2 linked regions of the Astyanax mexicanus genome follow. The protein of the gene in region 2 purifies or fractionates together with the protein of the main gene of each other region. This does not show direct contact. Links are inferred from orthologs where the notes say so. Each region holds a gene or a part of one and is shown on either strand. Other genes may lie near its edges. The genes, in order: sirt7 and mybbp1a.

What was found.
Region 1: the proteins of mybbp1a (region 2) and sirt7 purify together in Homo sapiens (affinity purification with western blotting; 3 studies listed by BioGRID, with this or other methods). This does not show direct contact. The link is inferred for Astyanax mexicanus from reciprocal best matches to the Homo sapiens genes MYBBP1A and SIRT7.

Annotation. Positions count from the first base shown.
Region 1 is NC_064423.1:31,804,323-31,820,571, forward strand, and holds sirt7 (NAD-dependent protein deacetylase sirtuin-7), read right to left. Parts: upstream 7,138-16,249; 5' UTR 7,132-7,137; coding exon 7,027-7,131; intron 6,630-7,026; coding exon 6,492-6,629; intron 5,737-6,491; coding exon 5,632-5,736; intron 5,537-5,631; coding exon 5,466-5,536; intron 5,357-5,465; coding exon 5,284-5,356; intron 5,001-5,283; coding exon 4,902-5,000; intron 4,660-4,901; coding exon 4,423-4,659; intron 4,333-4,422; coding exon 4,252-4,332; intron 3,489-4,251; coding exon 3,382-3,488; intron 3,074-3,381; coding exon 2,866-3,073; 3' UTR 1,653-2,865; downstream 1-1,652. Other genes in the region: serine hydrolase RBBP9, read left to right, coding at 585-670, 856-1,079; srsf11 (serine/arginine-rich splicing factor 11), read left to right, coding at 8,572-8,693, 10,108-10,241, 13,576-13,685, 14,312-14,401, 14,505-14,554, 14,639-14,772, 14,879-14,960, 15,052-15,165. UniProt on the Homo sapiens protein: NAD-dependent protein-lysine deacylase that can act both as a deacetylase or deacylase (desuccinylase, depropionylase, deglutarylase and dedecanoylase), depending on the context. Specifically mediates deacetylation of histone H3 at 'Lys-18' (H3K18Ac).
Region 2 is NC_064429.1:11,715,894-11,733,235, reverse strand, and holds the start of mybbp1a (myb-binding protein 1A-like protein), read right to left. Parts: upstream 6,226-17,342; 5' UTR 6,166-6,225; coding exon 5,995-6,165; intron 4,587-5,994; coding exon 4,491-4,586; intron 4,298-4,490; coding exon 4,214-4,297; intron 3,858-4,213; coding exon 3,783-3,857; intron 3,639-3,782; coding exon 3,531-3,638; intron 2,751-3,530; coding exon 2,560-2,750; intron 1,908-2,559; coding exon 1,740-1,907; intron 1,255-1,739; coding exon 1,137-1,254; intron 1-1,136. Other genes in the region: fgf10b (fibroblast growth factor 10b), read right to left, coding at 11,134-11,325, 11,587-11,690. UniProt on the Homo sapiens protein: May activate or repress transcription via interactions with sequence specific DNA-binding proteins. Repression may be mediated at least in part by histone deacetylase activity (HDAC activity).

The sequences.
Region 1 (16,249 bases), on a different chromosome or scaffold from region 2:
CAACAGACTTACAATGCTAGAGATAGGGGCATAGCATTGCCCATGCAAGGAAATAGCAGTTTTTACAGCATTCATAAGCTCCACACTAGAGTTCTGCACTTCCATGGGACCCGTCAGAATATCTTGTAGCGTGGCACAGAGTTTAATCTTTCCAGGAAGCGGGACCACATATACATGTAGAAATCCTGCAAATTAATAGTCTAAAAATATATATAATAACCAAGCAATGATTTCCATGCATAACGGAACAGTAGAAAAACAACTAATCAGTCAGCAAGATTAATAATATTAATGCATGTATAATGACATTTGACACAGGCAGTTTATTAAAAACACTGTTTATACACACATTACCTTCAGGTAGTTCTCCTGAAGTCAGTATCTTAAAATTAAGTCATGATAATTCTACTGATGAGCACAATTGAAACTATTTTGAAAATAATTATGCTTTGCAAAACATTGCAAAAGTTTAAGGTCTGGGAAGAGGGAGCGTAACATGCAGCTTTAAAATTGGATTTCTGTAGCCATTTTACATATTTGCATTCTTGCTGTGTTTGTTTTTTTCCCTTCTACCCAAACCTTAGATATGGTGAGACGCACAAGGTATTTGGTATCATTCTGGTGGGAGCCTACACCTCAGACCTGGGAGATGAGAATGAGAGAGAGAGTGGTGAGTCGGTTTCTAGTGGAAATAAGCTTAATTATAGATCTTAGTCTAAACATATTATATTTAATGTACATTGACAGCTTGTAAAAAATGTCTTTTATGTCATATATAAATTTTTGTCGTTGCCAAGCTGGGTACTGTACCTTAAAATGATTCCATCTATCTGATATCTTCCTCTCTGTGTTCAGGGTATTTCAGCCGGCCGTGGGAATGGGAGAAGATCAGAGCAAACGTGAAGCATATCGTTCAGTTCGGATCAACAGATGATCCTTTCCTACCCTGGGAGGAGCAGCAGGAAGTAGCTGATGGACTGAAGGCAGAGCTTCACAAATACACAGACCGTGGACATTTTCAAAACACACACTTCCCAGAGCTCATCAATGCTGTCCAGAAACTGACAAAAGCTGAATGAGGGGTTGAAAGGGTGGCATTTCCAACAACAATGGTGGTAAGGGGTCTAACAACGAACCTTACATACTGTCTCCTTGTATTCATCAGTTATATTCAGACACAGCCTTCAAGTCTCTTCTAAGGTGGCCCAGGATTACCAGTTTTCCTGGAAACTTGTGTCAGGATGGAAGACAGAGAAGTGAATTCCAGTCTGAGAGAAGTGAGGGACACACCCACAAACCTTAAATCACTCAGTTTATTATTAAATGTTAAGCTTATGATTACAATAACTATAAAGCATTCTGTAAATGTTGGGGCTTTTATTTTATTTTGATAAAGTATTTTCAGATTCATAAACTCAGTAAAATCATATATGCCAGTAGTTAAACACTTTCTTGATAATAATAGCCTTCCAAATATCCTGAAACGTTTTTCTGGTCATGCAAACACCTCAGCTAAAAAAACTAATCTTACTTTCTTACACAACAAGTGGACCAAAAGGAATGCTCCAAAAGAAGTCCATTGAACTGTATTTTGTGAGTCCATTTTTAATTTTATTGACACTGCACACAATGTTTCAAACGTAACAGGAACATTTAAACATTATAGTTGTTTTACTTACAGATAGTCAAGACAAAATATTCATATAAACATTCATGATAAATTAAAATGATTAATAATACAAAACTCAAAACAAATAGTTCTCTTCTGCAGTAAATTGTGCACTTGTGATCTACTGTGACTGGACAGAGGGTCTGACTCTGGTTAGAGTAAACCTGTAGACCATCCTCCATGATTTACTTACACTGTTTTAACTGTTTTCATTATTCCGATTGTGCATTTATAGAAATCTGCACTCTTAAATTACCTTTAAATATGACGAATAACACTGTTGGAGGTAGGTTATGCCTCATCATAAAGAATAATTAAATATTAACCTTAGTTATCTGAGCTAAGATGAACACTTGTGTAATTAATTTAAAATGTAGTTCTCCTTTCTCTAAGAATCATAAATCTCTTCAACAGATGAGATGCAAAAGTCTGTAACAGAAGACATTATGTCCGCGGTGGCTGTTAATGCCTTCTATGATGTTTTCCTGTATTGCATTTTTAGAACCACAAACAGTTGGGGACACAGTTTAGCGCTGTAAACATTGTTTCACTGGAATTCACCATGTTGTGCAGGAATCTCTGTAATACTGAGATCATTTAGCTTCATTTATGGAGTAACGTCTCCAACACTGAGTAGTAGAAATAATAATGTAACGTCAAGTTTTGTTGAAACCTTGTAATTGGCTAATATTAGCTCATTCTGATGAAAGACAAACCTATATGTTAATTCCGTACAGCCATGAACCTCTTCCATGTATTGCTTGGGTTGAATCCCTGAGAGGATTAAATCAAGGTGCAAAAAAACAGCTAATACTGAAAACATTTAGCACTCACACCATCCTTAACCCAAGACTTACTCCTTCAAAGGAACATTTCACCTAGAATTCATAGTCAAATGTGATTCTTAACCCCTTTACACATCATACTATCATTATTAATGGTCTATTTTAGTCCAGCAGTGACACTGAGGTGTTAAAAAACTCCAGCAGCACTGCTGTGTCTGTTTCACTCAACCACCACCATGTCAGTGTCACTGCAGTTTTGAGAATAACCCACCACCTAAACAACAAGCTGCCTGCTTTGTGGTGGTCCCGTGGGGTCCTGACCACTGAGAAAGAGTGTGAAATGAGGATAATAAGGTAAGAATCACATTCAGTAATTATTTGTGTAGAATAGTTCTTTTTAAATACAGTTGTCTACGTTGCTTTCCTTTTCTTCCTTGATTTGCTGCAGCCTCGTCCAAACCACCCACCCTTTATTACATTGTCTTCAGCTTCATTCCCTGAATTTGAATTTGGCTCAGAGTCCTCCAGGGCAGCAGGGGGTGCTAGAATTTTACGAGTGTGACTGTCCTTTTCATGTGGCGTAAGGGGTGTGGCTAAGTGGAAGATAGGGTCCTCTGCTCTGTTATTGGGAGAGATAAAAACATTACATTGCATTTGGCAGACGCTTTTGTCCAAAGTTTAAGGCAAAAAAACATTTTTAGACGGGGCCAAAGGAGGTCAAAGAGAAATAATGGGATAAAGGAGGAAAGGAAGAAAAAAAAAAGAAATGAGTAGTTAGCGTGTTAGAGGTGTTAGGAGAGTAAGTGCTCTTTGAAGAGCTCTGTCTTCAGGAGATTCTTAAACAAACAATGGAGAGCAGTCATTGTGATTGGTCGATGATAAAGCACATAAAACGTATACAGTAATGCAAACAGAGGGCTTCCTTACCTGTTGTATTTTGGGATTTCAGTGCACAATTCTTCCATCAGAAGACGCATCACATCATCACATTTTCCATTTATTTTAAGAGTGGCCAAGTCATCTTTTGGTGTCCACTGAAAAAAGAGATAGATTAAAGCAGCATTAATTAAGATTTTTCTTTTAAAATAAAAGATTGAAAGCAGTAGTGTTCCTAAATGGAGAGATGGCAACATATTATAAAAATGGCATCAGTGTGCTTCTGCTACAATTCTTGCAAAGCCACATACAGCTCTGAAAAAAAATTAAGAGAACACTTCAGTTTCTGAATCAGTCACAGTTTTCATGCATCTTGGCATGTTTTCCTCCACCAGTCTTACACACTGATTTTGGATAATTTTATGCCTCTCCTGGTCAAAAAATAAAAATAAAAATAAAGAAACTCATCATTTTAAGTGGTTTAATTTTTTTCAAGAGCTGTATATTCATGTAAAAACAGAGTGATGACTATGACAGCATTTGCTGGTTATGTGAGCAACCATGGTGTTGCTAAACCTCTCTAAAATTACCAGATTCATTCAAACTTTCGGACTGTCACTTTAAAACAATATTATATAGTGTTTGTATCTAATAATTTATTGCGATGCTCCACTGACTCTGAATGTTGCTAATGGCACCATGTAACTTCAGTGTAGCAGACAAAAAGACAACACTGGTTTAAACTGTGTAGCATGGTGTGTCAATCCTGTTATATTACTCCTTAGTATAGTACTTCCTTAGTCCCTGTGCTTCTTACACTTTCATGACTATACTGTGTGTACTGTGTGGCTACAAGTGTGAATTTGTGAAGTTACACTGCAGGACTGTAGCTGGAGCCAAAAAGTAAGTGTGAGTCATTACCTGTAAGTTGACGATGTACAGCTTTGGTCTTTTAGCTGCTGGCTTCTTCATAGACCACAAGCATGCATACTTCTTCAGGACCTGCCAATGTGCCACATACAAAAATCAGATATTGCCATAATCATAACAGAAAGGTACAGCTAAGGAGAGTCACATGAATCGCTGCATTACCTTCAGACTGGAGCCGAGGCAGAGGATGAGGTCAGCCTGCTCTGCAGCCTCGGCAGCACCTTTCCAGTTGAGGGGTTGTTCCAGGGTGCCTCGCTCTCCAAAGTGCACGATGGTGTCCTTCAGCTCTGCTCCGCAGTGGGGACACCTCCTGCCTGTTCCGTGCCTGTGCAGCGCTGTGCGCTCGGTCACGTCAAACAGTCGAATGATCTCCCGTACTGGAGAACATGAGACACAGACCTGTATGGAATGAATGGGCATGTTTAGGACTGGAGAATAAGAGTGAAGAACATTTTGATTTTGATGGTTTCTGATTGTAAATTAATACATGCCAACAGACTAAAAAAGAATTTTCGGCACACAGCACACATTTGTGCTGTTAGCTTGCTGTGTCAGGAACTCAAGATGATAAATATTTAGATTTTCCTATGCAACTAAAGATATGGTTAAGTTTGACAGCCATAAGAAAGTATGAGGGTCACCTCTATGAACATATTCCCATGTAGCTCAGAAAGGGCGGGTCTGGGAAGGCCACTGCGCAGGTGGAGGCCGTCACAGTTTTGGGAGACCACATGTTGAACCTGCACGTAAACAGAGGTACTTTAGTCTGCATGCAAACACCAAGTACTGGCTGACATTCATGAATACATTGAAAAAATTATTATTAAAATAATAATTATAAAATCTAAGCAACATTTTTTGTCATATTTCCCTAACCACTGCCTCGTCTCTGACACTCTCTATGCTCATGATGGTCCTAATCAAGTCTATTGCTACGTCCAAAATTGCATAATACAGTACTATCACAGACTCATTTTTGGTTCTAAGAGTTACTCCTTGGTCTTTAAATAATAGCATACTGACCATTTTGATTTTGTGTAACATCCGGATGCACATGTGCGTCAGAGTCGGGTCTGCATCACTGAGGTCAGAAGCCCTGTGGAACATAATGTGACACAATGTGACACAATGTGTGGGGGACAATAATTATTTTTTATTTTGTATAAAAACAGAAGAAGTGGAGAAATGCACACTGCATCACTCACATAACAGTCCGTCCCTTCTGCAGCTGGGTCCATACTCCGTTTGGGCCACGGTAATCTGGGATGGATGCGGCCTGTCAAACATGAAACAATGATGGTTAATATTTGAAGCGTTTATTATGCATGCAGTAAAAGAAAGTACATCCTCTGAGGCTGGAGTTGATAGTACCGTGCTGATACCGGCTCCTGTGTAGATGACAGCATGCTGAGCTTGACGCATGGCTTCAGCCAGCTGTTTCACTTTGGTCCTCAATTCGTCCTCATCATCAAACAGCTAAAAGCAGCAGAGCACAAAGGTAATTCATCGAAGTGGCAAAATATTTCCATTTTGTCGAAAACCATTAAAAAAAATTATTATTAATGCTGCTTTGATACACAAATCTAAAACAAAATACAAAAAAAATTATATACAGGTACATATCAATAAAGTAGGGTATCATCAAAAAGGTCATTTATTTCAGTAATTCAGTTTAAAAACTGAAACTATTATAGATTCATTACACACAGAGTGATCTAGAGTATCTTTTTATGTTGATGATTACGACAGATAATAAAAACTGCAAAGTCAGTGTCTCAGAAATTACCCACACTGCCAAAATGACCAATATCTAGTTTAATAATCATAATATCACTGTGCTTGATTGACCAGCGAATTCACCTGAGCTTGAAATCTATGGACTATTGTCAATAGGAAGATGAGGTGGGCTTTCATAACACCTCAATGCCACAGCAGTGCCACAGGCTGAATTAATATTGATAATATTGTACATACTTTTCAGTGTGTCAGCATTTCTGTATTTTTTTTTTCATATAAAATTTTAATTTAAATGTAATTTAAAATACTGACTGACTGGGGTTTTCATTACCTGTAAGCCATAATCATAAACATTAACAGAATTAAATGCTTAAAATAGCTGACTGTGTATAATAACATCTATATAATTTAACTTTTTGAGGAAATTATATTCTAAATGATTAAAATGCACCAGTATAGCAATTTAAAGAACAACCATATAAAACCAAACTCACCTCTTCTTGCTTCCTCTTCAAGGTGTTTCTTCTGACCCATCGCTTGTTTAGCTCTTGGACAGTTTCTTGGTGAGAGTGAAGCAGAGAAATCTCCTCTTCTGTCCGCTCACACTCAGATTTCTTCAGTATTCTGGAAACCTGTACAAAACAGATTAACCAGCAGAGCGTACAATATTTGCAATAAATATTGACTTGACTTATTGTTAATATTTATTATTTGTATTTATTTAATGCCTTATTGCAATAGGTGAGATATAGTTGTCTATAGTTGACTGTGTTTTTTTTTTATTAGTTCATGCTTATTATTGTTTTATATTACTATCTGTCTGTCTGTCTGTCTGTCTACATATACACACATTTTAAAGTTTAGTATAACAGCTGTTATTAATGAAGCTGGGGCATTTAAACACCCCCGACAGACTAGGCTATCTTACCGGCTAGCTAAGTATCTAAGTTACATTACTAGCTAAATTAGCGTTTATTAAACCAGGTGTAAATCTTTTAAGAAGGGAAATAAAGCAGCTGATATATTCACCAGATTAAAGGTCTCTCTCTGAGTCTCTTTCTGAATGATTTTCTCCTTTTCCAGAGCTTTTCTCTCTGCTCGGGAAAGCACAGCACCTTCTGTTTGGGTCTCCATTCTTGTACTAGCTTTCCTGATTCAAAACAGGAGAGACCCTGCGTTTCATAATAAAAGTCCCACTAAAGTCCCATTAGTTTTTTAGGTTTCTCATATAAAAGAGGAAATCAGTTTAATGTTTGTACTAAAAGAAAAAAAATAATCGAATAGATTTGTTTTTATAGATTTAGAAATAACAATAAATAAATAATTAAATAATTAAAAAATAATTAAAATAAAAATAATAATTTGATCAAAATTTATTTTTCACACATAAAATCATAATATTTATACATGATATATGGTACAACTATCACGGAAAAGCCTGATCGCTGTAACAATAACGACAAAAAAAGAAAAATTAAAAATGATATAGATAAATACAACGTACAACATATAAAGATCAAAAGCAAAAATAAATTATTCTGATTATGAAATATAATCAGACTAACAGAGTGACCAACTATGTACAAACTACATAGCTATGTATTATATGAAATATTAAATGTTACAGTTTCTAAACAATAATATAATATTTATAACACAAACGACATACATGAATAGCACTACATATTATGGGCTACATTAAAATGTTTTAATTTACCATGATAAAGAAATGCATGGATTATATTTTTATACTGCCCAAAAGAAGGAACGAGAATATAATTAGAATATCATCGAAAAGTTACTTTATGTCAGTATTTCAGTTCAAAATGTAAATTATATCATATATTATACAGATGTTTTACACACGGAGGGATTTATTTTATGCGTTTATTCATTTTATTGTAAATGATTATGGCTTACCGTCAATGAAAACACAAAAATCTGTGTTTTTTAAAAAAAAAAATCATATTATATGATTTTTTATATATGTGGGCAGTGTGCCAAGTCCTGCTGGAAAATGAAATTCGCATCTCCATAAAACTTGTCAGCAGTGGGACGCTAATAAACGCTTTAAATACTGGTTACTGAAATAAAGTAACTTTTCAATGATATTCTAATTTTTTGAGATGCACTAGTATGCAACACCTAGTCAATATAATTTATTTGTTTGGATTTTTTAACAATTTCAGAAAAGTATTTTATTTAAGATGTTAAGATTTTATTTAAGATGTATTGTGTATGTTATTGTATATATTTCAATTGGCCAATACATTAAAAATAGAATTAAATGTTTTAGACTTTTATTTTGAAAGCCATTGACTTTAGTCAGTTTTCTGCTGGTAGGATCCAGATGAGAAGCGGGGAGCAGTAGCTAGGGAGCCTTTAAATCCGTTAATTAGTTATTAATAGAGAAAGCTGGGTGAATTTGGGCTCTGTGGAGCTGATCTGTAGGTTAAATTCAGGTAAACTCGTATGAGCGGACCGAGCGAGCCGCGGGGAATCGCCTGAATCCTGCTGCTGTTTGTGGGCAGCGCTGATCCGCCAGCGGGCGTTAGTAAACAGCAGGGCCTGATCATGAACAGCAGCACGAACGTGGTTCAGGTCACCAATGTTTCTCCCAGCGCCACATCCGAGCAGATGAGGACCCTGTTTGGGTTCCTGGGGAACATCGAGGAGCTCAAGCTCTTCCCTCCAGAGTGAGTAACTCTAAATACTGCACTGTACCACACTGTACACACAGCGGTGCTTTATATAACACAGCACAACACAACACAGCACAGCACAGCTAACCAGCTGCAGCCTGAGCACTGCAGTGGATATGTCTGAATGGAGCTTCACAGATAATGGTTAGCTAGCCTTTCTAATATATTAATACTACTGTATCTAAAAAAAGGAATATCATTAAAAAAAGTTGCTTTATTTCAGTAATTCAGTTCGAAATGTGAAACTTATATATTATATATCTATCTGTTTTAAGCGTGTATTTCTTTTATTGTTAATGATTATGACCTACAGCCAATGGAAACTCTAAAAGCAGTGTGTGCAGTGTGCCAAGTCCTGCTGAAAAATGAAATCCGCATTTTCATAAAAGTTGTCAGCAGAGGGAAGCATAGAAGACAGTACCCTGTAAGCAAAGAATATTGTATAAACGTTAATATTTGGTTGCATTAACTCTTTTGCATTTATTTTTATCAGCCATAGTTACGAAAATTATGCAAAATATAATATTAATCACTCTTAATCTCTTTTTTTTTTGCTGGAGCAAAAACACTGGCTGTACAACTATCAATCACTGATTTAGGCTAATATTTATTCATTTTAATATCAGATATCTGCATCGGCCTAGAACTCCCACATTTGTGCATCCTCACACAGAATGCAATGTTTTTTTCCCAGGTTTTATACTTTTATTCCACAATTGCCTAAATGCTACATTTTTAACATTTCTGCAGACATATCAACCAAGCACAATATTAAATTATTCAGCCTTTTCACTTATTTAGTAATTTTTAGATGGGTAATTTCTGTTTGCCTGAAGTTTACATGAGGAAAATGTGGTTGTCCAAATAATGAGCTCTTTTACTTCAGTTAAGAAAATAAGGTCTTTATTCCTTGAATCCTTTGGGTCTATAGGCTCACTTATACAGTACTGACCCTAGTGTAATGGACCGTTGATCCATGTATGGCATGAAATGTAGACATATCAAGAGAAATGACTGATAGTGACCTATAGACATAAACAAGTAGAAAGCAGATCCAATCAGAACCTCTGTTTTATAGATGGGGTGGCAGAACCAGTCAGAATCTCTATTTCTGTGTATGACTGAGTAAGAGTTGTAACTCATAGTGTATTTTCTCAGATAGCTAACTTGTGTTCTGCTTTTTTGTTGTTATTTTCCATCTGTCCAAAACACATCAGGTCATAACTTCACGTCATAACGGCAGTTCAGGTAGGACGTGCCTTAGAGAGCCAAGATGGAGCGTTTCTAAAAACACGTACGGGATTCATCAAGGCAATGCAAAGTGTTGAAGCTGGTTTGAGTGGAGAAGGTGTGTGTAAATGTTAGAACTGTCTGTACATCTTGCAAAAGCCTTTATATTTTCTTCCAGTGATTCTCCCTTGCCTGTGACTTCACGTGTCTGTTTTGTAAAGTTCCTCGAATCTGAATCAGTTGGAGTTTCCCAGCATCTGACGAACACGGTCTTCGTGGACAGAGCCCTGATCGTTGTCCCATTCGCTGAAGGTTTGTGCCCGTCTTCAAAACAGCAGAGTATTCTTTCCTGTGTGATGTTTTTTTTTTCATGTACAATCCTTTACAGTCTTGCAGTTTATGTGAGTACACCTGTTTTATATAACTGTAGTTGTACCGGTACAAGGATGACACCTGTAAACATTCCTTAACATGAGTAATACAGGCACAGGTAGTTTCTATTAAACTCTCCATTATTATATACAGCTGTGCAAAAAAAATTAGAGACTACTTCAGTTTATGAACCAGTTTCTCTGATTTTGCTATTTATAGGTATATGTTTGAGTAAAATGAACATTGTTTTTTTATTCTATAAACTATGGACAGCATTTCTCCCAAATTCCATATAAAAATATTGTCATTTAGAGCATTTATTTGCAGAAAATGGCTGAAATAACAAAAAATGCAGAGCTTTCAGATAATGCAAGGAAAACCAGTTCATATTCATAAAGTTCAGAAATCAATATTTGCTGGAATAACCCTGGTTTTAATCACAGTTTTCATGCATCTCCTCCACCAGTCTTACACACTGCTTTTGGATAACTTTACACCACTCCTGGTGCAAAAAATCAAGCAGTACAGCTTGGTTTGATGGCTTGTAATAATCCATCTTCCTCTTGATTATCTTTCAGAGTTTTTCAATTTGGTAAAATCAAAGAAACTCATCATTTTTAAGTGGTCTCTTATTTTTTTTCCTGAGCTGTATTTAAATACCTTATACAGGCTTTAGGGAGCTGCTATGAATATGTGAGAAAATCCCACTAGTTGCGGGAGAAGTGGTATGTCTGTTATTCATCCAGTAAGCACATTTGCTTTACACAAGTTTTGGATAAACTTTTTTTCTGTCATTTGTGTGTGTGTATGTATGTTTGTGTGTGTGTCTGACTTTTTGTAGTGGACAAGGCAATTGCAGAGCCGGCTGGCGACTGACAGGTCCTCTGCTGCCAACAGGGAACTGTAGAAACAAAATAAAGGCCTTCAAGAGCCCACAAGCTGTCCTGCTGTAAACTCTGACTGTTTTTTGTTGTTCTGTTGGACTCTCTGCATTGATATCTCTCTGATATTGATACCTACGACAAATATGCTAATACAAGTCATACAGTATGCATGCAAAATGGATCTTAAAGGAAAAACTTTAATGGACAGGGATTAAGCCTAGGTGTAGACTACATTTTATTTTTAAGCTGAAAATGTCTATTTGAAATGCTGTGTAGTGCAAGACTAGGCTTAATCCCTTTCTAGGAGTCTGGGAAAGTGTTCCATCACTTTTTTGATGTTCAATTGTTGGGCCTGTCACAGTGATTATATTTTTAACTTATTGTAAAATATATGGACATTATCTCAGTCATTTTTGCTGACCTCAATGTTGTGCGTTGAGAGCCACTATGTCAACCTTACTATGATATTTTTTCTACGTTTAAATGTTATATTTATATTTTATTTATTTTTTTACCCTTTCAGTCATTTTACCACTAAGATAAAAGCAAGACATGACTGTTCTAGAGCATTAATCTTTTCCACTTAACTCAAACGAAGACAAAAGCCTGAGAACCTGTGGTTTTAACAGCGTTTTTTCTGTTTTTTTTTTGTTGTTGTGTTTTCCAGTTCTTTTCCCTGGTTCTGCCAGTGCTATAAACCAGACCCAGCTGAAAATGCCACCTAAAAGTTTTGTCCTGCAGCTTTGTCCTGTTCTGTTTCTCAAATCTCTCTCTCTTACTCACTCTCTCGCTTCATCAAAGATAATCAATGTGTGGAGAAAAAACATTAATTGCAGATTTGCTTCGTTGACCTATGGATTCCAGCCATCTACCGAAATGCTATTATCTCTTTACTTTTCTCTTTGGCATTTTGTCAGACTCTGTAGTTGAGATTATGTGGGCTTTTGCTGGCCGGACACTCACTTGTTATTACTCAGTAGGCCATGTGGTAAGGTAACATAGATGCACTATATGGACAAAAGTATTGGGACACCTGCTCATTTATTTATTTATTTATTTATTTTTGCATTTGATGGTGCAAGAAACCATTTCTATTGTCCAGCAAGATATGACTCAAAAGTATGGATATATCATTCAATAGAACACAGTCCCACTGGTTTACAGAACAGTGTTGGGAGGAATTATATCCCTTAAGCCACAGCCTGCAAAAATTCTGGGCGGGTCGCGAACAGCTTGTAAAAAGTTTTGCAGTTTTGATATTTAATCTTATTCTATAAAAGTCGGTTGTGACTTAATAATGTGAGAAAATGTGGGTCCCGAGCTGAGACCAGTTGAGAACCCTTGCTCTAGACAGTTCTATTCAATTGGAGTGCAGCCTATGCTGTGTTCTCTTTACTTTGGAGCTCGGAAACAGTTAAATACTTTGGTGTTTTATGGCAAATCCATTAATTTTCATTACATTTACATAATTTAGCTGATGCTTTTATCCAGAGCCACTTACAAAGTTATTTCTATTACAGAGGTTGGCCAATGTAATGTGAGGAGTCTTTCCCAAGGGCTCTTTTTGGTGTAGCACACTATAGTCACCCAGACCTGGAATTAAACCCCAGTCTCCCACATGGTAGCTCACTGGCAGGTGGTGGTGTTTTCCATTGCACCACACCAACCACATACAAACACATCTCAGATCATCATTATTAGCATTGATCGTGATACAGGTTTATTTTGTAGTTGGTTTAAAGTGATTTAATGAGACACAAATTGACAGAATTGAGACACTGCTTTCTCTCAGCCCTAAATTAGCTGAATGCGTTAATTAGAATGGTGTTCACAAGCTTTTTGGCATATAGTGTAAGCAGTAGAAGCTCCACACGCCAGCAAAAGCCTGCAGTAAAGGACAGGAACTAGGAGCTAGTTTGATTGTCAGTAGTTAGGGTTAGTCATCCCTTTAGAAATGAACTGTGATTTGCTGTTGATCTCCGAATCATGAACTCTTTGTTTTGTCTATTTTTGATGTTTCTGTGTGCTTTATAGCGAAGCAGCCGACGTGAGTCGCTTGTTCATAAAACTGCTAATGAAACATGAGAGCACATCCCACTGGACAGCCGGCTGTGCTTGCTTACAATTGGTTCATGACTTAAAAAATCAAGTTCAGGTGATAACATCTTGGCAGTGTGTTTAGTGACTGTTATTTTCTTCTTTTTTTCTTGTAGTATCATGCAATTATGCTTTTGTAAAGGGACATTATGTCTTAGATAGCCCTGAAAACAAGAAATTATCCAGTGTATATGTGAAGTGTAGACTTGGACTTTGGATGTTTGTGTGATGAGGATATGAAAGTCCTGGCTTTAACTTCTGTTTCCGTCTGTTTTTCCCCCAAAACCCTGCAGGTGTGATTCCTGATGAGTCTAAAGCTCTGTCCCTGCTGGCTCCAGCCAATGCTGTTGCAGGATTGCTGCCAGGGGGTGGGCTTCTCCCCACACCCAATCCAGTGCCATCTGTAAGTATGGGTCATTCCGTGTTGCCTACTGTGCTGTTGAGAATGACTTGTCTAGGTATGTACACTAGTCAGCCATAACATTAGAACCACCTGCAGCTGTATATACAAGATTACAAGACCAAATATCCAACCCTATCACTAGTGATGCCCCAACACCAAGAGGATAAAGACTAGAACAAGCCTCCTCCGAAGTCAGCCACCACATCTTTTCCAACTGCTGCTGATGCAGCATTATCCAGTAGCATCATAGCGCACTCGGAGGAAAGTGCTGCGACTCGGTTCTGATACATCAGCTCACAGATGCCTTGTGCTGAGCGATATCACCCTAGGAGGGGTGAGGGGAAAGAGCACCATCTTCCCAATTAAGAAAGAGCAAGGCCAATTGTGCTCTCTCATGGCTCTGGCAGCTTATGGGCAAGATACAGCAATTTCCCAATCATAGTGGCAGTGTCTTAGTCCAATCTGCCTTATGGAGGTCTGATCCATGTTGTCAAAGTGGTTCAAATCCTCACAATTGCAACTGACTAAAGGACCTGTATTTCACTTCACCTGGCTGTTAGTGGTGATAATATTGTGGCTAATCAGTGTATGTTGGACTTATTGTAATCGTTTCCTGTGTTTTACAGATTGGTGGTGTTCCTCTTGGCAGTCTGGGAGGGCCTGCCATGGATGCCATGGCTGCACTGGGCATGCCTGGACCCAATATGAACCCCCAGGTTTGATAAACAATATATTTCTTATTGCTTCTTTAAAATGCCAACTACTAAATCTTGTTTATTTGCGTAATAAGCAATAATAATCTTTTCATTTTTCCTTCAGTCTTTGTCTGCAGAGCAGTTGATGAAGCTGATGGCATCGATAGATCCCAAGTAAGCCTATGAAGGTCTCTTCGTTCTATTTTTTTTGTCTTTTAGTTGATTCAGTTTTTAATTTTTTTCTTTCTTTCCTCGCAGGTTGAACCCTATGGCTGCTGGTTTAAATCTAAACCCTGGGTTGAAGGCAGATGCATCGAACAAGGAGATCGAGGAGGCCATGAAGAGGGTGAGGGAGGCCCAGTCACTCATCTCAGCTGCCATTGAGCCTGGAAGTAAGGAGTGTCATCCATATCTAAATGAGAGCTAATAATAGCCAATAATAAAACTATAATTGATTACATGAATAATTAATAAATTGATGTATGATCTTTCTTCTAGATAAGAAAGATGACAAAAGAAAGCATTCAAGATCAAGGTCAAGGTCACGAAGGAGGAGATCAAGGTCTCGCTCCAAATACAGGTTTGGAGAAAATCTGTACTGTAGTTCTTCTCCAGCTGTAGTTTATACAGTGTTGCTGTTGTTTAACACAGTGTGTCCTGTTTGGTTGAAGACGCTCCAAGAGCCGCTCCCGGCGGAGGTCCCGCTCCAGGAGCAAGAGGAGGTCAAAGAGCCCCAGAAAGAGGAGATCTCACTCCAAGGACAGAAGCAGACGTTCTAGATCAAGGTAGGTACATTAAGCATGATTATTGAAATAATGCTTTTTTTCCCCACCCTATTATCAATGATGCAGGTTTGAGGAATTTTCAGTAAAATAAACAGCAAAAGTATACTGTATTTTTCACACTATAAGGCGCAATTAAAATCCTTTAATTTTTCCAAAAATCATCAGTACTCCTTACAATCCAGTGCCCGTTATGTATGAATTCTACCAGTCAGGTATTAAGGAGCAGTAAAGCTACTCCGCTGAAGTACAGTGTTCTACAGGAGTTTCAGTTTAGTTCTCCAAAAGTATTAGCATTAGCCGCAAACTGAGTTAAGTGCTAGCTCTTTCGGTGTTCAAAGGTGAGTATTATCGGCCTGTAGCCTTCTGCTAACTCCGACTTGCACTGTTGAAGCAGTATAAGCATTATCCGCTAACTGCGCTAAGCACTAGCTCTATAAAAAACTGTAATAAACCACTAACTAATATCGCCCTGGTTTACTGGAACATTCAGGGTTCCTCAGTGTGGCTCTATCGAGCGGCATTAGCCACTAATCAAGGCAAGCACTAGCAGTTACTTCCTAATGCTAACACTGCTGGACCCAGCCTTAGTTGAAGTCTGGAAATCTAAGGTTACTGTAAATAATTGGAAGCTAACGGTGGCAAATTTGTGTAGATTAACATCCAATCTCGTTTGAATAAAATATATATTTTTTAATTTATATATATTTTTAAGAATTACAGTTTTGTTTACTTAACATACCTTAGCTTTAGAGGTCTCGCCACTGTGTGGTGGTACCTGCTAAATTAGAAGGAAAACATGGCGGCACCCCTGTTCCTTACTAGTATTGCATAATGCACCTTATGTATAAAAATAGACCAGAAAATAGAAGTTTATTGATAGTGCACCTTATAATACTGTGCACCTTTATAGTGTGAAAATACGGTAAATGATAAACAGATGTTACTTTGGTGCACCAGCAGGCGATATTAAACTTTGACTGTTTGGATATAGTGGAAAATAAAACTAGCCAATCACGAATACCTACAACAATCAGCCGCAGCATTAATAGTATCTCTTTGTTTCTACACCTATTCTGCATTTCTG
Region 2 (17,342 bases):
ACAATGTCCAAATGTGAAATATGTTAGAAACCATTTAATCCTACCCTTCTGTTTTGCTCATTTACATGTATAGACAGGATGACCGTTCACATTCATGTCACATATCCATGGATCGGTTATGTATTCCATTTAGGACCACATAGTGATTCGAATATGATTAGAAAAAAAAGTCAGATTTGGCATGATTTTGGCACACAACCGTGAAAAAAATCTGAGATCTGAGCCGCAGTGAGCAAAAAAATCAGATTTTTTTTGTGAATTTCACTCTGCCAGTGGGAAATCACAAGCTAAAAATATCAATCTTACCCAGTGCTCCTTTAACACATACTCTTGTTCAGTGCCAGATTAACACTTTCTGAGGCCCGGGGCTAATTACCAGGATGAGGCCCTTCATATCATGTTCTGATGCATGACCTCACACAAACACACGGACACATCAGCGACAGCGTACACAGTACCAATCTATAACAGACTGCCGTTTAAAGTGAACTGGTAACATGATTTCAATTCAATTTAGGGTTGGGCGATGTCTCTTTAATTGGCAGATGACGATGTTTACAGGGAAACATCGCGATGGACGATGATATCGTGTGGGGTGTGGGTTGATTAGAAATAACTAAAAACTGACATTTACTATAGACCAATAAAATATATACGCAAAAAAGGAAAAATAGGACACTTTAAAAAGATCATTAAAATGGATACATAAAAAACAAAGAATGTATAAAAAAAAAATAATTTAATCAATAAAATAAAAATATTTTCAAATGAATAAAACAATAATTAATATAAAATAAAAACTCATTTAAAACACAATCAAAGGCTTTTTGGTAGTGCGCAGGATAATAAGAGTGAGAGAGCGAGAGAGAGTCAGCACATCTTTGCTGGTGGTAGCTGCTACAGCAGGCTGACTACTCCACGTTGGTTAATTTGGGTGTTTTCTGTAATAATTCTGTCGCTCTTTACTTTTTTATTGCTTGTAATTTTCGTTTTTTTTATTAATTTTGTAATTTGACATTCAGCGACCCGAGGCCCGGGACTGCAGCCCTTTCAGCCAATTCTTTTAATCCGGCCCTGCTCTTGTTTAAGAGAAAACCTAAAAATTTTAAAAGTACAGCAGATATTGTCTGACTCACCTGAGCAGAGAGCACATGCTCCCCATAGCGTCTCATCACTTCTCCAGACAGAACAAATTTCAGCTGGGACACAGAAAGCATCGGCAGAGCCGCACCGAACAGCCTGAACACCAGATAACTAAAAAAAAAAACAGGGGAAAAAAACAAGGAAAACAGGAGAATCAGAGACTGAATAATACTATTAATACTATTGACATATACAAGATTTTTATTATTATATTATTATATTATATACATATATATATTTTATATATCTTTATACTGACAAATTTAACATTTAACATCTAAACATATTACACATATACCAGCTGCTCATTATTAGTACAAAAAAATAAACAAACAATAATTATTTAATATTTCAGTTAGGGGTGTGCCATGTCATTCCATACGCAATATTAAAATTTTATTTACAATTTGTTGCAGTAGTGTTTTCTTGAAATAATCTTTTTAATTCAGTGTTTTGTCATATCACCAAGAGTATCATTACTGCAATAATACCATGAAGTATCGTAAACAATGTTGTAATATTTTAGGGCCATATCGCCCACCCCTATTTTATATTTATTCTTTAGATGTAGACGTCCTATACGGGTGAGTACTCACTGGCAGGGGCCTGCAGGGTCTAACAGTAATCCGCTGATTACGGCCTCCTTCCAGAAGAGCTCAAAGCTGTCCTCCCTCAGAGACATCTGCAGCAGGTCCAGAGCCACCGTCGGCAACACGTTCTCCTTCTTCACCGAGCGAGCGGCCGTCTTCAACACCTGAACCAACCTATCAGAACACAGGCAGGGTCACAAAGGATGAGTGAATAAGTGAATAAGTGAATAAGTGCAACACATCATGACAACTTCTTTTAAAGTACAGATTAAATCAATAAACATAGAAGACCTGTGTGTATGAAACTGTCAATGAAGTAGTATGTGTTTGCTGATGATTGAGTACATGCTATACAGTGTGTGTGTGTGTGTGTGTGTATAGACCCTGCAGGTCCCTGCCAGTGAGTACTCATCCGTATAGGACGTCTACAACTAGAGATTAAATATAAAATAGGGGTGGGCGATATGGCCCTAAAATATTACAATATTTTTTTATGATACTTCATGGTATTATTGCAGTAATGATATTCTTGGTGATAAGACAAAACTCTGAATTAAAACGATTTCAAGAATATACTCTACTGCAACAAATTATAAATAAAATGTTGATATTGCGTATGGTGTTATGGCACACCCCTAACTGAAATATTAAATAATTATTGATTGTTAGTTTTTCTTGTACTAATAATGAGCAGCCAGTATATGTGTAATATGTTTAGATGCTACATTTGTCAGTATCAAGATATAAAAAATATATATATATAATATAATAATATAATAATAAAAAACCTTGTATACGTGTGTGTGTGTGTGTGTGTGTGTCTCACCGTGGCAGGGTGTTTTTGTTGATGACGCTTGCAGTCCCCACCAGTTTCTTCAGTTTGGCCGGTTTGATGACTGAGGGAAACTTTTGCATGGCCACCAGGAGGAGCTCCAACTGTTCTGGGCTGCTGAGGGCAGAGGTCAAATCAGTCTGCAGTGCTTTAAACAGCACCTCCTCAAACACCTCCTCTGAAGTCTGAAACACAACACAACACAAACGCAGCTCAGAACAACAGCACGTATTACCAACTGGTGGAAATTAAAAATACTAAGGATGTGCCAATCCCATTTTCTGACCCAGAGAGATATTGATTTTTAAATGATTATTCAAACATTCAAACATACAATTTTATCACAAAAAAGTGTTTGCCCTTTATTGTAATAGCTTGTGCTTCTTAAAAGACAATAATTGCTTACAAAATATGTGTAAAAAAAAAAAAAAAAAAAAAAAAAAAAAAACTTCAATAATTTTTTTTGTAAAAAAAATTACCAGTGCAAATATCAAGTGCATGTATGTGTATGCAATGTGGCCTACCAAATGTAAAGCTTTTAATAATAGGTATTTTAATGTAAATGAAAGAATTAGTATTAGATTATAACTAGAATTAAATTAAATAATAACTATATAAGTGCTGCCAGTCAGTTAAAAATTAATTGTGTGTATCTGTGTAAACAGTTTGGAGGGGAAAAAAAAGCGTGGATGAAAGTAGCGGATGGCTCTGAATACAGCAGCATGCTTGCAGTGTGGGATTTTTTCTCCCTTAAACTATCAGTTTCCATAACCTAGGTATAAGCATATGAATAACACTCTTAATAAATTAGCACAAACTGTATTCTTTGTGTGAACGCTTTTGTGTGTATATATACATATATATATATATACACATCCAGATGAAGGCACAGAGTAGCATAACAATCTAATTTATCAAACGTGCATCAGCAGCATCACAGGCGAAAAGGCCGATCTTCAGCTAACCTCACTCAGAATGTCCACCATGGTCTTCCTGGGTAGTTCTCTCAGGTGTTCTCTGTACTGAGACAGAGTCTGGAGCAGCTTAATACACTCCAGCAGTACCTGCGGCTCCTGGAGAAATGACAGACATCAGACAACTTGACTGTGTGAAAACATTCAGTAATTCTGTGTTTTTAAAATGATTAACAAATAAATTCTACAAATAAATAAAAACAGAGTAATGTAATTACAACGTAATGAGTACGAGGAGCTTACCTTGTGCAACCGTGTGGACTGAGACAGCGCGAGCACGCCAAAAAAATTCCCAAACGCCACATTTCTGATTTGTTTCTATAAAAAGAGAGAAAGAAAGAGTGAGAAAGAAAATCCAGAAGATTTAGAAACACCAATAATCATTAATAGAGATGCATAAATACTAATACTGGCATAAGATAATCCGATACCACGCTTATTTACTCATAATCGCACAGATAAAAATTGCACATAAACAATTTTTATAAATATATGAGTTAGAAAATGAACGAGAAAATTAGAGAGAGTAAGAGAGAGAGAGAGAGAGAGAAAGAGAGAGATAGAGAGAAAGAGAGAAATAAGGAGTGAGTGGTGGAGACAGTCCCAACTTCAAAGCCCAGCAGTTCAGCAAAAGCAATTTGTCTCTTTAAATAAAAATCTAGTGTTTTTCCTACCTTATTGGCTGTTTGTAGATCATGTTTTTCTTTGATCTGATCAAGTGTGCTTTTAAGTGGAAGTTCATCAAACACACTGAGCACCTGCAGAAACACAAATCACACACCTGAGTTCTCCTACAGAACTGTACTGGAACTTTTCAGTACATCCAGCAGTTAATACAGGAACCAAACTGTTTTGAAGATTCTGTGTTTCTCCAGAAACGCAAACCCAGAAGAGGTATTTATATATTTATATTTTTTAAAAATCGTCTAATACAGGCTATTTTTTTTTTACCTGTGCCAGTGTGGCGCTGTAGCCAGTGCGAGCATGCTCTCGTGCATGAGACAGTCCATTCACCAGCCTCTTCACCACATACTGTAACTCATCCGACTGAAAAACACAACAAAAAATAAAATAAAGAACACAATACAAAACAAAAGCAATGATGTTTCAGGTAATAATTAGAATGCCACATTAACATTAAACAAACTAAGCAGGTCTCACTCACATTGGGTGCAAATAGTCTACAAATTCAACACACAGCACAGCGAAATATTACTTGATCAATCAGGAGAAATTGAGGACAGTAATGAAGTATAATTATTATTGTTCTTAAGTAAACTTTTGTGTATCTGTACTTTACTAACATATCCATGTTAGGTGATTTTTTTTTTTACTTTAACACTATTACTTCAAACTCAAATATATTACTATTTACTATCCACTACTTTGTCAGTCATTTTGGCTTGTTTGGGTATATAAAAAAGTACATTACATTATATCAAATTTATCAGATGCTTTTAGAGTATTGTATCATAAAAGAAGCACCAAGCAAGCCCACCATTCAGGGCACGTCACTTGAATCGGGGTACAGCGTATTCTTAGTTTTTACCTGGTTCTGACTTGTTGGACAAACAGCAGCTGCCCAATGCAGCAGTGAAAAATTGTGGGTGTGCCTATACTGCATAAATAATGAATATATGGAACATATAGATACAGCAATCTTTTTTAAAATCATAACTTAAGCTCATAACTTGTAAGTTACATATAAACCTTAAACCAAAATGTGCTTGTTAGTAAAAAAAAGATATTTACAATAACTTGGTTCAAACTAATGAAAACTGTTCTCGTTTAGTGTTTTGTGCTTGTGGCCTTTTTAACAGGCATCAATATGACATTTACGACATTCTATCAAAAGACTGGTGACGTTAGAGCGACATTAAAAAAGTTTCAGCTAAAACGAGCTGATTAATCAATAAGAGACTAGTAATCATAAAAATTATAACAGAATATTATAGCAAAAATAAATGATGGTATCGCTACTTTCAGAAGCAAAGCATATTTGAATTAAACTATTTCTGAATTTCTACACTTGTTAAAGTTTAAAGGGGGGCTTTACCTGTAGTATAAATACTTAACCTCGAGCACATGGTTTGTGTACTTAGTCCACCACTGCTCATCAGATTACCACAAGGTTTAAGAAAGAAAACTGAGATACAGGGAATACAGGGTGTAAAAGGCACTCCAGAAGGAAGATTAAGGTCAACAATATTATTTTGAGTGTCCACCTACAACAATTTGGACAAGAATAATCTCAGATTGCCAGCCAGCTTCTTATTCCACCAGCCTTCAATCCACCTTAAACAGTCCAGAAGTATCTGTAAGTGATCTGATGACAACAGTTGAGTAGCTAACCTAACTAACCGAACATTTAAGGTGGAACGGGCACTGATCCTGGTACTAAGCTGCTGTGATGGTTCTGAAAAGTTCTGAGGTCCAGTTCAGTGAGTGTACTAACCTCTCCACTCTTCTTCAGCTGTTCCACCAGTTTCTCGGCAGCCTGAAGTCGCGCTTCTCTCTCGGGTTTGGCGATTTCCCAGAACAGGTCCAGCAGCTCCCGGCTCCGCTTCAGAACACCGTCCGGATCAGCCACAGCGGGCCGAACCGGGCCGCTATCAGGGTCCACCATGCTCGCCTTCACTAAACTCGTGTAGAGAAAAACACGAGAGGGAAACACGTGCAGAGAGAACGGGGGAACCTCCGGTTTGACTTTCAACCATTTCAAAATAAGAGTCCCTCAAACTGTAGCATTAACTTTCACTAACATTTAAAGGTTTATTTATTTTAATTAACTTTTTTGGAGAAATTACTTAACAGTGCGCATGTAGTTTAACACTCTATGGTATAATGTTGCCCTCAGGCAACAAACCATCTTTTGCTTATTACACCATTCCATACTAAAATGTATTTGTTTATTAATTTAGTTCGTTTTAGTATACTGTACAAGGCATATCTACGTCCAATACAAAGAGACATATAAATGGTTAAAATAAAAAAAATGTAAGTTATATGTGCAAGAAAATAATATGTTAATATTATTTGAATATAATTAGAATTAGTCTCATTATAATTTATTTCATTTTCCCATTTGGGTATCGTTATTTAGATCACTTGTGTTAGGGCTATCAAGACAAATCTTTGATATAGTAATGAGATTATTGTTATTAAGGAGTTATTTACATTAATGTGAATGTGAGTCTGTATTCCAGTTACAAAAAATCCAAAAATGAAATCTTAGTTTCCTTTGTCATTTTTGTAAAAAAAAACAACTAAAAAACAAAGCATTCATTGAGGATATATGACCAGTATTTGACCAATGTCTGAATATTCTACATGTTTTTTAGTGTTTATTATTATTATTATTATTATTATTATTATTATTATTATTATTATTATTATTATTTATAATTTTATATATGTATGTATATATTTAGCAGTTAAATTTTAATGTTATGATTATTTTCTTGACTTTTTTCTTAGTTATTTGATTCAATTTAATCATTTTTAAAATTTAATGTTAGTTGTCTCTGTAATCTTTGTAAAAAAGAAAAGAAAAAAACATTTATTGAGAATATATGACCCATTTTTGTCCTATGTCTGAATATTCTACGTGTTTAGTTGTTTTTGGTTGTTATATGTTTTTTATTAATAATATTATTATTATTATTTATCATAGTATATATGTTTGTATATATTTAGTAGTTTAGTTTCAGTTTTCATGCTTATTGGGGTTTTCTTGTTTTTTTTCTTACTATTTGATTCAATTTGATCATTTAAATATATTTTATTTTACCATTAATATGGTTTTTTTATGAATCATCAGAAACTTTATAGTTAATCTGTTTTTGAAATGTTTTTTTTTTCATTTTTCATTTGTTTCTTTATCATAATTTTTCCCCTATGTCCCCAATATTTTAATATAATGATAACAAAAGAAAATCACTACCTTTTTAAAAGGGTGTAGCATCCATTAGCATCATGCTATTTTATTGTCATCATATTATTAGCATTAAATTGTGTTAAAATACTATTAAAGTAAAATAATATTGTTTATTGCAGTTAATTTGTGGTGCAGTCTCATCTCCGTTAGTGTCAGTGTTGTTTATAAGGCCTGTTTTTTGCTCTTTTCTCTTTTACAGCAGGTTTGTTGTGAGAAATGTTGAGAAACTCTGTAATCTGGGGTAGTTTTGCCCCTCATTAACCCTGATTTCAGCTTTTTCCACTGTATCCGCGGAGCTGTTGGTAAATCTGCAGATAGCGCGCAGTTATTAGCGAGTTTTCCGCTTGTGTGTGTTCCTGTAAAAATGCGGGTGTAATGGAAATAAAGAGGAATGTTTCGGTTAAAAGAGAGAGATTTGAGTTAATAAGGAAAGAAAGCGTAGTGGAAAATATCTCTGTGTGCGTGTGTGGTCCTAATTCTAAGGTTACATTTAGCTTTTTACACGAATTATCCGTTCCACCTTAAATGGTGCTACAGTTACATTCTACATTCTACAAAAGCCAGCAAAAAACTTTTTTTTGTGTTAATCACAATAAAATCTTATGTTTAGAAATATATATGTGTGTTTATTTATGTATTTATTTGTCTGTATCACCTGTTTTATTTTTTTCCTTTGCAAATTGTAATACTTATTTTTTTTAAATCTTATAAGTAATGTTATTATTATTAACCAACTCTCATTTTTAATCCTATTTTTGTTGTGTTTGCTACGTTTATAAGAACTGTTATGTTTTTCTGTTTATATTTTCTTATTATTTTATACACTAACATATCTTAATTATCTGTTTAGAAATATGTTTATTTATTTATTTTGTCTGTTAATTGTTTTAGTTTTATTCCTCTTCAAATTGTAATAGTTACATTTTGTTTAATCTTATTTTGTAGTGTTATTAATATAGTACGGTTAGTACTGTTATAATTTTCTTATTATTTTATACACTTATTTGATTATATTTTTATGTTTATATTTTAGCATTTTTCTTTTTTTTATTCTTCCTGAATATTTTTTTTAGTTTCATATTTTTCTTAAAAGTTTTTTAGTATTTTTATACACTAAGTATATTTAATACTTTAGTTATATATTTTTAGTAATTTTTATGTTTACATTTTAGCTTTTTTCTTTTTTTTTATTTTTTTGTTTATATTTAACTTTTCTATATCTTAGATTAATTTTTATATGATCATTTTAAATTAGTTCTGCTAAATTTTCAACTTTTTTAATCCATTTTTTTCTCTGTTGTTTTAAGCTATTGATTGTAAAGGCTCAGGTACATTGAATATAAAATGAGAGTAACAGTTTTAAGGTTTATTGATTCATTAATCAATTGATTTATTGATTATTACACCTTGAGATGTATAGCTAATCACACACAGTAACTGGTGATGAGTGAACAGATGTACTCAGACTCTGTACAAGAGTGAGAAAATAGCTTTTATTTGATATAAAGTACAGAAAGCTGCTTTTATTACATACACTTCATTCATTTTGCTCTTAAATAGTATACAAATAAATAATATATCAGAAAGCAGTCAAGAGCTGTGTTTACAAACGCCTCTAATGACCCTCGGGTCGTCAGGTGACCGGTTCCATTCTCCTGTTTCACAGTCTAGTAAAACGATCCAGGTCCAGGACCCAGTTCCACATCCCGGGTCCAGATACATTTACAGGGTCCAGTCATATGCTCCGACTCAAGAATCCGGTTCCAGGATTAATTTTCACGCTCTGGTTCCATTATATAGTTCCATACTCCAAGTCCAGGAACAAAAACCATGCTCTTGTTCTAGGATCCAGTTCTATTCTGTGGTTCTAGGATCCAGTTCTATTCTGTGGTTCTAGGATCCAGTTCTATTCTGTGGTTCTAGGATCCAGTTTTATGCTTTCAAGTAATAAACTTGATCTGGATCCAGTAAAATACTCCGATTCTAGGATCCAGTTTTGAGATCCAGTTCCATCCACGCTCTGGATCCATGATCCACTTCCATAATACACTTTCAGCATCAAGTTCCATGTTTTCACTCCAGTTCCAGGTACCTGTTCCACGTTCTGGTTCCATAAACTGTTTATAGATCCAGTAATGTGTCCTGATTTAGCTTCAGAAACCAGTTCCAAGATCCAATCCGCTGCCCTGAATACATGATCCAGTTCCATAATCCACTTTCTAGATCAAGCTCCAAGTTCCCGATCCAGCATCCTGCTCCATGCATAATTTCCACGACACAGTTCCGTGATTTGGGTCCAGAATACAGTAAATTATGCTGATTCCAGGTTTAGTGAGTTAATCTCAGTCTCAGTATTACAGTAATAACTAAAAACTGATCTGGATTCAGAGCCTCCAGCGTCCTGTGGAGATTCCTCTCCTCCATCTGTCAGTACGGTTCTCACGTGTTCTGAAACCATATACTGACCTCTATAGTTTCACAGGTTTCACAGTACATTAAAGCGACAGGTCAGAAAACCTGTGTACACAACTGTATTATGGGATATAGTACAAATCAGAGTACAGATTATAGTACAGACTATTTGACAGACTTGTACAGACAGTAGTGCAAACTGTAGTAGAGTAGTACAGATTTTAGCGTGAAGTTTAGTACAGAACGTAGAACAGACTATAGCACAGAAGAGAACTGAGTGTAGTACAGACTGTAGTGCAGTCTACAATATTGATTGCAGCGCACACTTAAAGCACAGACTGTAGTAAATTAGAGTACAGAAGAGTACAGATTGTAGCACAGATTAATACAGACTGTAGCACAGACCAGTACAGACTGTAGCACAGACTAGTACAGTCTGTTGTACAGACTATAGCACAGAGTGTAGCACAGACTAATACAGACTATAGCACAGACTGTAGCACAGACTATAGCACAGAAGAGTACAGATTGTAGCACAGACTAGTACAGACTATAGCACAGACTGTTGTACAGACTATAGCACAGAATGTAGCACAGACTAATCCAGACTTTACCACAGATGATAGCACAGACTGTGGCACAGACTGTAGCACAACCTATAGCACAGAAGAGTACATACTGTAGTACAGACTGTAGCACAACCTATAGAACAGAAGAGTACAGACTCTAGTGCAGACTGTAGCACAGACTAATACAGATTGTAGCACAGAGTACAGACTCTAGTACAGACTAGCACAGACTAATACAGACTGTATTAGTCTCTAGTACAGACCCAATACAGACTAGTACAGACTCTAGTATAGACTGTAGCACAGGTACACAGTTCAGGCTCTAAGATGGGCACTGCTGTTTGTTTCTGTAACAGGTATAGAGTATATTTAGGAGTTGAGCTGGGTGGTAATTTGTGTATATTTGTTTTTTTTTTGCCAGACTTTTCCTTTAAGCCCCCGAGTCTGAACAGCCTCTCGTTCTTGTCCAACTCTTTAAACTGATTTGGCAAAGTTGTGGTACTATGTGCCATTATTATATCCAAAAGAAGAATCAGGATCACACACAGGGAGCAGTGTTATCAGGTGGGTCCGGCTGCAGCAGCAGGAGGAACTGGAGGAGCTGTGTACAGATCTCAGCTCTGTAGTGTCTCGTCCTCATCGTGTCTCTGGTGCCGGTGTGTCTCGGTGTGTCCGCTCAGACGAGGATGGGCAGGAAGTGCGTGGCCGTGTTCTTCCTGCGTGTTTTCCTGCCCCTCATCGGGCGGCCGTTAGCGCTCAAACCCACAAACATGGCTCTCCTCCGGTTCCTCCACTGCGCTGATGAGTAGGTGTTGTAGCCGTTCTCCTCAATACGCTCCTTCAGCCTGCAGTTCACACCATACTCTCTCTGGAACACACACACACACACATACTGTGAGTATACTACCAACAAACTAATTAGCACAGATAAATACTATATATGCCCACATGTTTGTGAAGATAGAGCCGATAGATCAGATACAGCAGTGATTAGCAGTGATTAGCATGGTGGTGGTGCATGAGGTGTTAGTGTGTGTTGTGCTGGTACAGTAAGTGTATCCAATACAGCAGTGCTGTTGGAGTGTGTGTGTGTGTGTGTGTGTGTGTGTGTGTGTGTGATGACACTCACCTCTCCATACACTTCTCCTTTCTTACTGATGGCCAGATAATAGTTGCTGCTGAGCCCCCGGATGGCTACAACCCCCACATCCACAGACGTAATCTCCAGAATGCCTGCAACACACACACACACACATGCGCGCACACACACACACACACACACACATTAGTCCAGTCTCAGTCTGTTTCAACACATTTCAGCTTTAAACAGTCATCTGACGAGAGCTAACAGTAGGGGCTATTAGCAGACAGTGTGTGTGTGTGTGTGTGTGTGTGTGTGTGTGTGTGTCTGTAAGGGTATTAGTGTCACTCTTTGGCATGACCTTTGATCTCCAGAACACATCAGTCAGGTTGTAGTTCACACACACACACACACACACACACTCACACATGCAGTGTAGTGTGTGTGAGGCTTTGTTATCTCTTTGTGTGATAACCTCAGTGTGTGTGTGGCGTGTGTGAATATGAGGGGTTTGTCCTTTGATCACACAGACACATGCACACACACCCACACACACACACCCACACACACACACTATGGATAATTAGATTCTAGTACTGGAGAACTAAAGCTGTTGATTCACCTTGTTCAGATCAGTTCATTCACACACTCCTACCAGAACACAGAGAGGGGGCCATCACACAACTGGTCAGCATTCTGTGTGTGTGTGTGTGTGTAGAGAGGGCGTGCTGGGTTGCAGGTATCAGATGAAGCAGTAAAACTATCTGTTTCTCAGTAAACAGTGGCAGGATGAAAGGATGAGGAACAGAAGAATGGCAGGATGACAGAAAGACAGATTAGAGCAACATCAGTGAGTCATGATCAAAGAGAGAGAGAGAGAGAGAGAGAGAAAGAGAGAGATGAATGAAGGACTCTCACACTACACAGACACACACCACAGTGATTGACACAACAATTTATATTTATACATTATTAATAATATGTCCCATATGTATTATATATATACTACAGGTGGACCGAATACTTGGCAACCAAATTTGTTTGACTGAAAATGGCAAAATAATTTATATTGAAAATTGACTCATTTATTTTAAGTCACATTGCAGAGTTTTCTCTGATATTAGGACTTTTTTTCAGTAGCCGCTCATATCAAAGCGCCAGGTTACATTTTTTTACTCTCTACCCACAATAATTAAAGTAAATAAAGCACTCAGCTTACACACTTAACACACTCACTATCAGTTTACTCAGTTTACTACGTCTTCACAAACTGGCTGCTTCCAGTTGAAAGATACGAGCTGTACAGGACTAGTATAGTAGCGTTAGTAGCGTAAATTTCACTTACATGTGACTTGAGCAGCACTGCTGAGGTAAATTCGTGATTAGAATGGGACTGCTGAGGTACATATATAGCCAAAATAGCACTGCTTAGGTAAACAGCATCACTGAGGTAAATTTATGACACACTGATTGAATTAATGAAATAAGCGATTAGAATAGTGCTGCTGTGGTAAATGTATTGTGCTTTGTTGGTTTGTCTTCTGGGTTTTTAATAATGTTCAGTGCTCAATAAATATTTTAAAACAGATTTGTAGTTTTTAAAAAAATTGTTTCATCTTTAAACACTCAACAGAGCGAGAGTTAATGCTAGGGGCTGTTAGCAGACAAGGTGTGTGTGTGTGTGTGTGTTAATTATATTAGATCAGTAGAATGTACAAAGACAACCATGCACTTACTTTTAAGATCAACGCAGTGATTTTGGGATTTGAGCTTACACGCATTTTTGACAACACATAAAGCCATATGGACCATAATCCACACCCCACATTCACACACACACACTCTGAAAAGCACATGTCTGCTCTCAGGTAGTGGCTTTGAAGTCGTTTTTTCACTGCAGAACTAAAATAACCACAAACTGTACAGAGAAAACAGTGAGTTACTGTAAATCCCTGCATTATACTGCTCTGAATACAGGGCGAGAGACACTCTGACACACACTGAAGGAGAGAGAGAGAGAGAGAGAGAGAGACTGTAAAAAGCTGCATGTTTTTTTTGTGAGGCAGAATTCCCGAAATATTTAAATGTGCTCTGATTGTTGGGCAAATTAACATTTTTCCCTAACTTGCTGTCCAGTGTGTGTGTGTGTGTGTCTCACCATGCTCTGTTTGCTGTGAGTAAATGTCGCGTGCAACAAACTCACACTTCGTCTGCTGGTGTGTGTGTATGCGTGTGTGTGTGTTTGTATGATTGTTTTTTCCATAAAGTGCTGCCAACACTTTACCACGTTTTATAGCTGAGATGATGCTTTTCTAGTGAAAAACAAAAGCAGTGGTCGTAGTTTATGGAGCAGAATGATGAGTTTCTCTGGGTTTAGATGTGTCAGGATAAACCAGAAAAACAGTTATCTCACCCTGTTCACTTAAACAACACACATTCTGCTCTGGTGGTCTTTCACGATGATTTTTATCCAACTTACTACAACACAACAACAAGCCCTTTACATCCACCCTAAATCTTCTACACCCGGCATTTAGCCCCTTGCTGTATATCCACATTTAAACCTCTACACCCAGCCTACAGGCCTTTATATGCACCCTAAACCCTCTATACCCAGCCTACATAACCGTATATCCTCCTTAAACCCTCCACATCAGCCTACAGACCCTTACATCCACCCTAAACCCTCTACACCCAACCTTTATCCGCTTACATTTACTATAAACCCCTCTACACCCAGCCTACAGACCTATATGTCCACCCTAAACCCCCTTATGCACAGCCTGCCAACCCTTATATACACATTAAACCTCCTTCACCTGGCCTTTTATTCACCCTAAACCCTCTATATCTGACCTATAGACCTTTATATCTATCTTAAACCATCTACACCCAACCTACATTTCTTTATATCCACATTAAACTCCCTACATCCGGCCTTTATCCCCTTTAATCCACCCTAAACCCTCTACACTCAGCCTACAGTCCTTATATCCACTCTTTAAACCCTTTAGACGTGGCCTGTAACCTCTTATATTGAGCTAAAAGCCCCCTACATCCAACCTACAGCCCCTTATATCCAGCAAAACCCGCTATACGAGCCCTAAAGCCCCTTATACAACCCCTGAGCCCCAACACCAGGCCAAAAGCTCTTTATGCCAACCCTAAAATCACTACACTCAGCCTAAAACTTTTTATTCACCCAGAACACCTGGCCTAAATTCCTTTAGACACCTTAAATCCCCTTTTAATCTGTTCTAAAACCTTTTATATCCACTATAAACATTATACACCCAGTTGTTCATCTGATGCCTTAACATGTTGCCTAAGAGACAATTAGATAATACCAGTTAAACCACATTTAAGTAATTAACGTGATTTGATCCTGCTGAAAGCATGCTCCTACCCACTGTGAAATTACCCAGCAGGCCGTGTGGCTGGCACGTGGGACAGTTTTGCAGTGGAATCCCCATAAATCTGAGGGTGTCTGCGGTTATGGGTTCTGACGCCATATTACACCAAATGCTGCGTTAGATGCTCCAACAGCACAACATCAGCTAACAGCAGGCTAAACACTCTCAGATCCCTGAGGAACATCTCCACGCCAGACCAGAATCCACCGAAAACACCAACAGCGTGACCTTTAACACATCTATAGGTTTTTAAAGTGAATATCTCACTAATATCTCAGATCGTTTCCACCACCCGCATTACTAAACGTAATTAAACACTAATTGAGGTCAGTCTGTGGAGGTTTTCTACTGAAATGATTGAGCCTGAGTCTCTCTGAGACTCTAATGCACCTGACTGAAGCTGATCCAGGTGTGTTGTCACATCCCCAGAGTTCTGCTGTTCTTCCAGCATCAGTGATCTTTTCTAATGCAAAACCTCACTTCTTTCAGAGCAGCATCAAAGCCTGCGGTGGCTAACCCTGCGTCTAGCCTGAGGACAGCAGCATTAGTGCTGTCTCTGTTCCCGCTCGTAACTCCAGTCCCACAGACTTAGCGCTTTTGTCCCCTCTGCTTCTTCACCTGCAGCATGGCCGCCTTTGATGTGCTGATATTCAAACAGTAGGAAACAGCAGCTGCATCAAAGCTAACCTACATCCTTACATCTCCCACATGTTAGCATGCTAACAGCTCATAATTCACTTTAAAAAACTGTCAACTTTAAACCAGTAAACACCAGTCAGGACATGTCCACAGTCTGAAGCTCTGCTTCTCCTGTAGTTTTAAATTGCAGCTGGAGAGATCATGCAGGCTAACAGGTGTTTATACTTCACAAGGTGTTCATAGTCTTAGCATAGTGCTAACTGCTTCATGTCCAGATCATCCCCTACTCGCCTCAAACTGACTGTCTTCTGTGCTTTCCAGTTTCCAACACTTTACGACTCAGTGTTATCTGGAAACATGGACTGTTCACACAGTCTAATAAAACATTTATGATGAAATAAGAATGCGAACATGTGTAAGTCTGATGTTAACATAAAATGGATTTTATCTGCATTTAATGGTCACCGGTACATGCTAATTTACTGACAGGAGCTCTGGGCTTAAACTGGAGCATAGTAACTTGGCTAAGCCTTGATAATGTAATTTGATGGAAATGTCAACAGTTTGATAATAAAAACATAAACTGTAATTTTACAACACTTACACTTACTGGACAAACTGGGAATCATGGTACTTTAGACTGTGCAGTAAACTCAATGAAGGCAGTCTGAAGGCAATCTGTTTTAATGCTAATTTTGACCTAACTAGAGCGCTAGCTAAATATGTCCTAATTCATCCAGACATGAAACAGCAGATTGTACAGTATGTATTATAGAATTATAAAATCAATTATCAACTAATAAATGTAAACTAATAAAACAGGATTTGCAATACACAAAAGTATACATAGCTTTCATCAATATTATTGTTAAAAATGTCCTGAATAATTCAGCTGTAGCCATTAAAAATACTCAACATTCTTTATAATTACAGTTATTAGTACTGAAAAGTTTAGTGAGTATGTGAATCTCACCATCACTCGGCTGTGTGTAAGTGATGTGTAAATGTGTGCTGCCTCAGCGCTGTTATCAAAGCTGGACTTAGCTTATCTTAAACACTGAAACACACACACACACACACACTCACTCACTGGATCAGCAGACACAGACACTTCCTGTCCCCATTGTGATGGCTGATTACACCCTTATTGACTGGGGCTGTCTGGAGTCCAGAGGCTTCACAGCTACGGGAAAGGGCAGGTGAGGTGCAGCGTACCTGAGTACCTAAACACACCTGAGTATACCTGAGTACCTTTCCGAGTACTTACAGCAAGGGTCAAGCAGACGTTTAGCAAACATACTCAGACTTACTCACACATACAACATACTCAGACCTCTCCTGAAAAATAATACACACATTATGTCCAGTATGAGTTTAATACTGTTTGATAATTAGATTTATCTGCTTTTTCAGTTCCTTCCACAGTGTCCTCAGACTACCAGGGCAACACACACTCACACACACACTGAGGAAACAGGAAGGCTCTTATCTACACATGGGCACCATATGAGTAATGATGAAACATCTTCACTGTTAAACACATTAGAGGAACACACACACACACACACACACATTAAGCCTCCATCTAATCAGCCTCTGATCCAGGTGATTAAGAGTTTGTGTACCTTTTAAATTTTCTATAATCAAATACATAATCCTAAAAGTCCTAAAAGTTAATAAGGAAAACCAAATAAAGCAAATGAGACTCAGATATTAGACTTGTAACCCATGAGCCCACTGGCATGTGCCAAA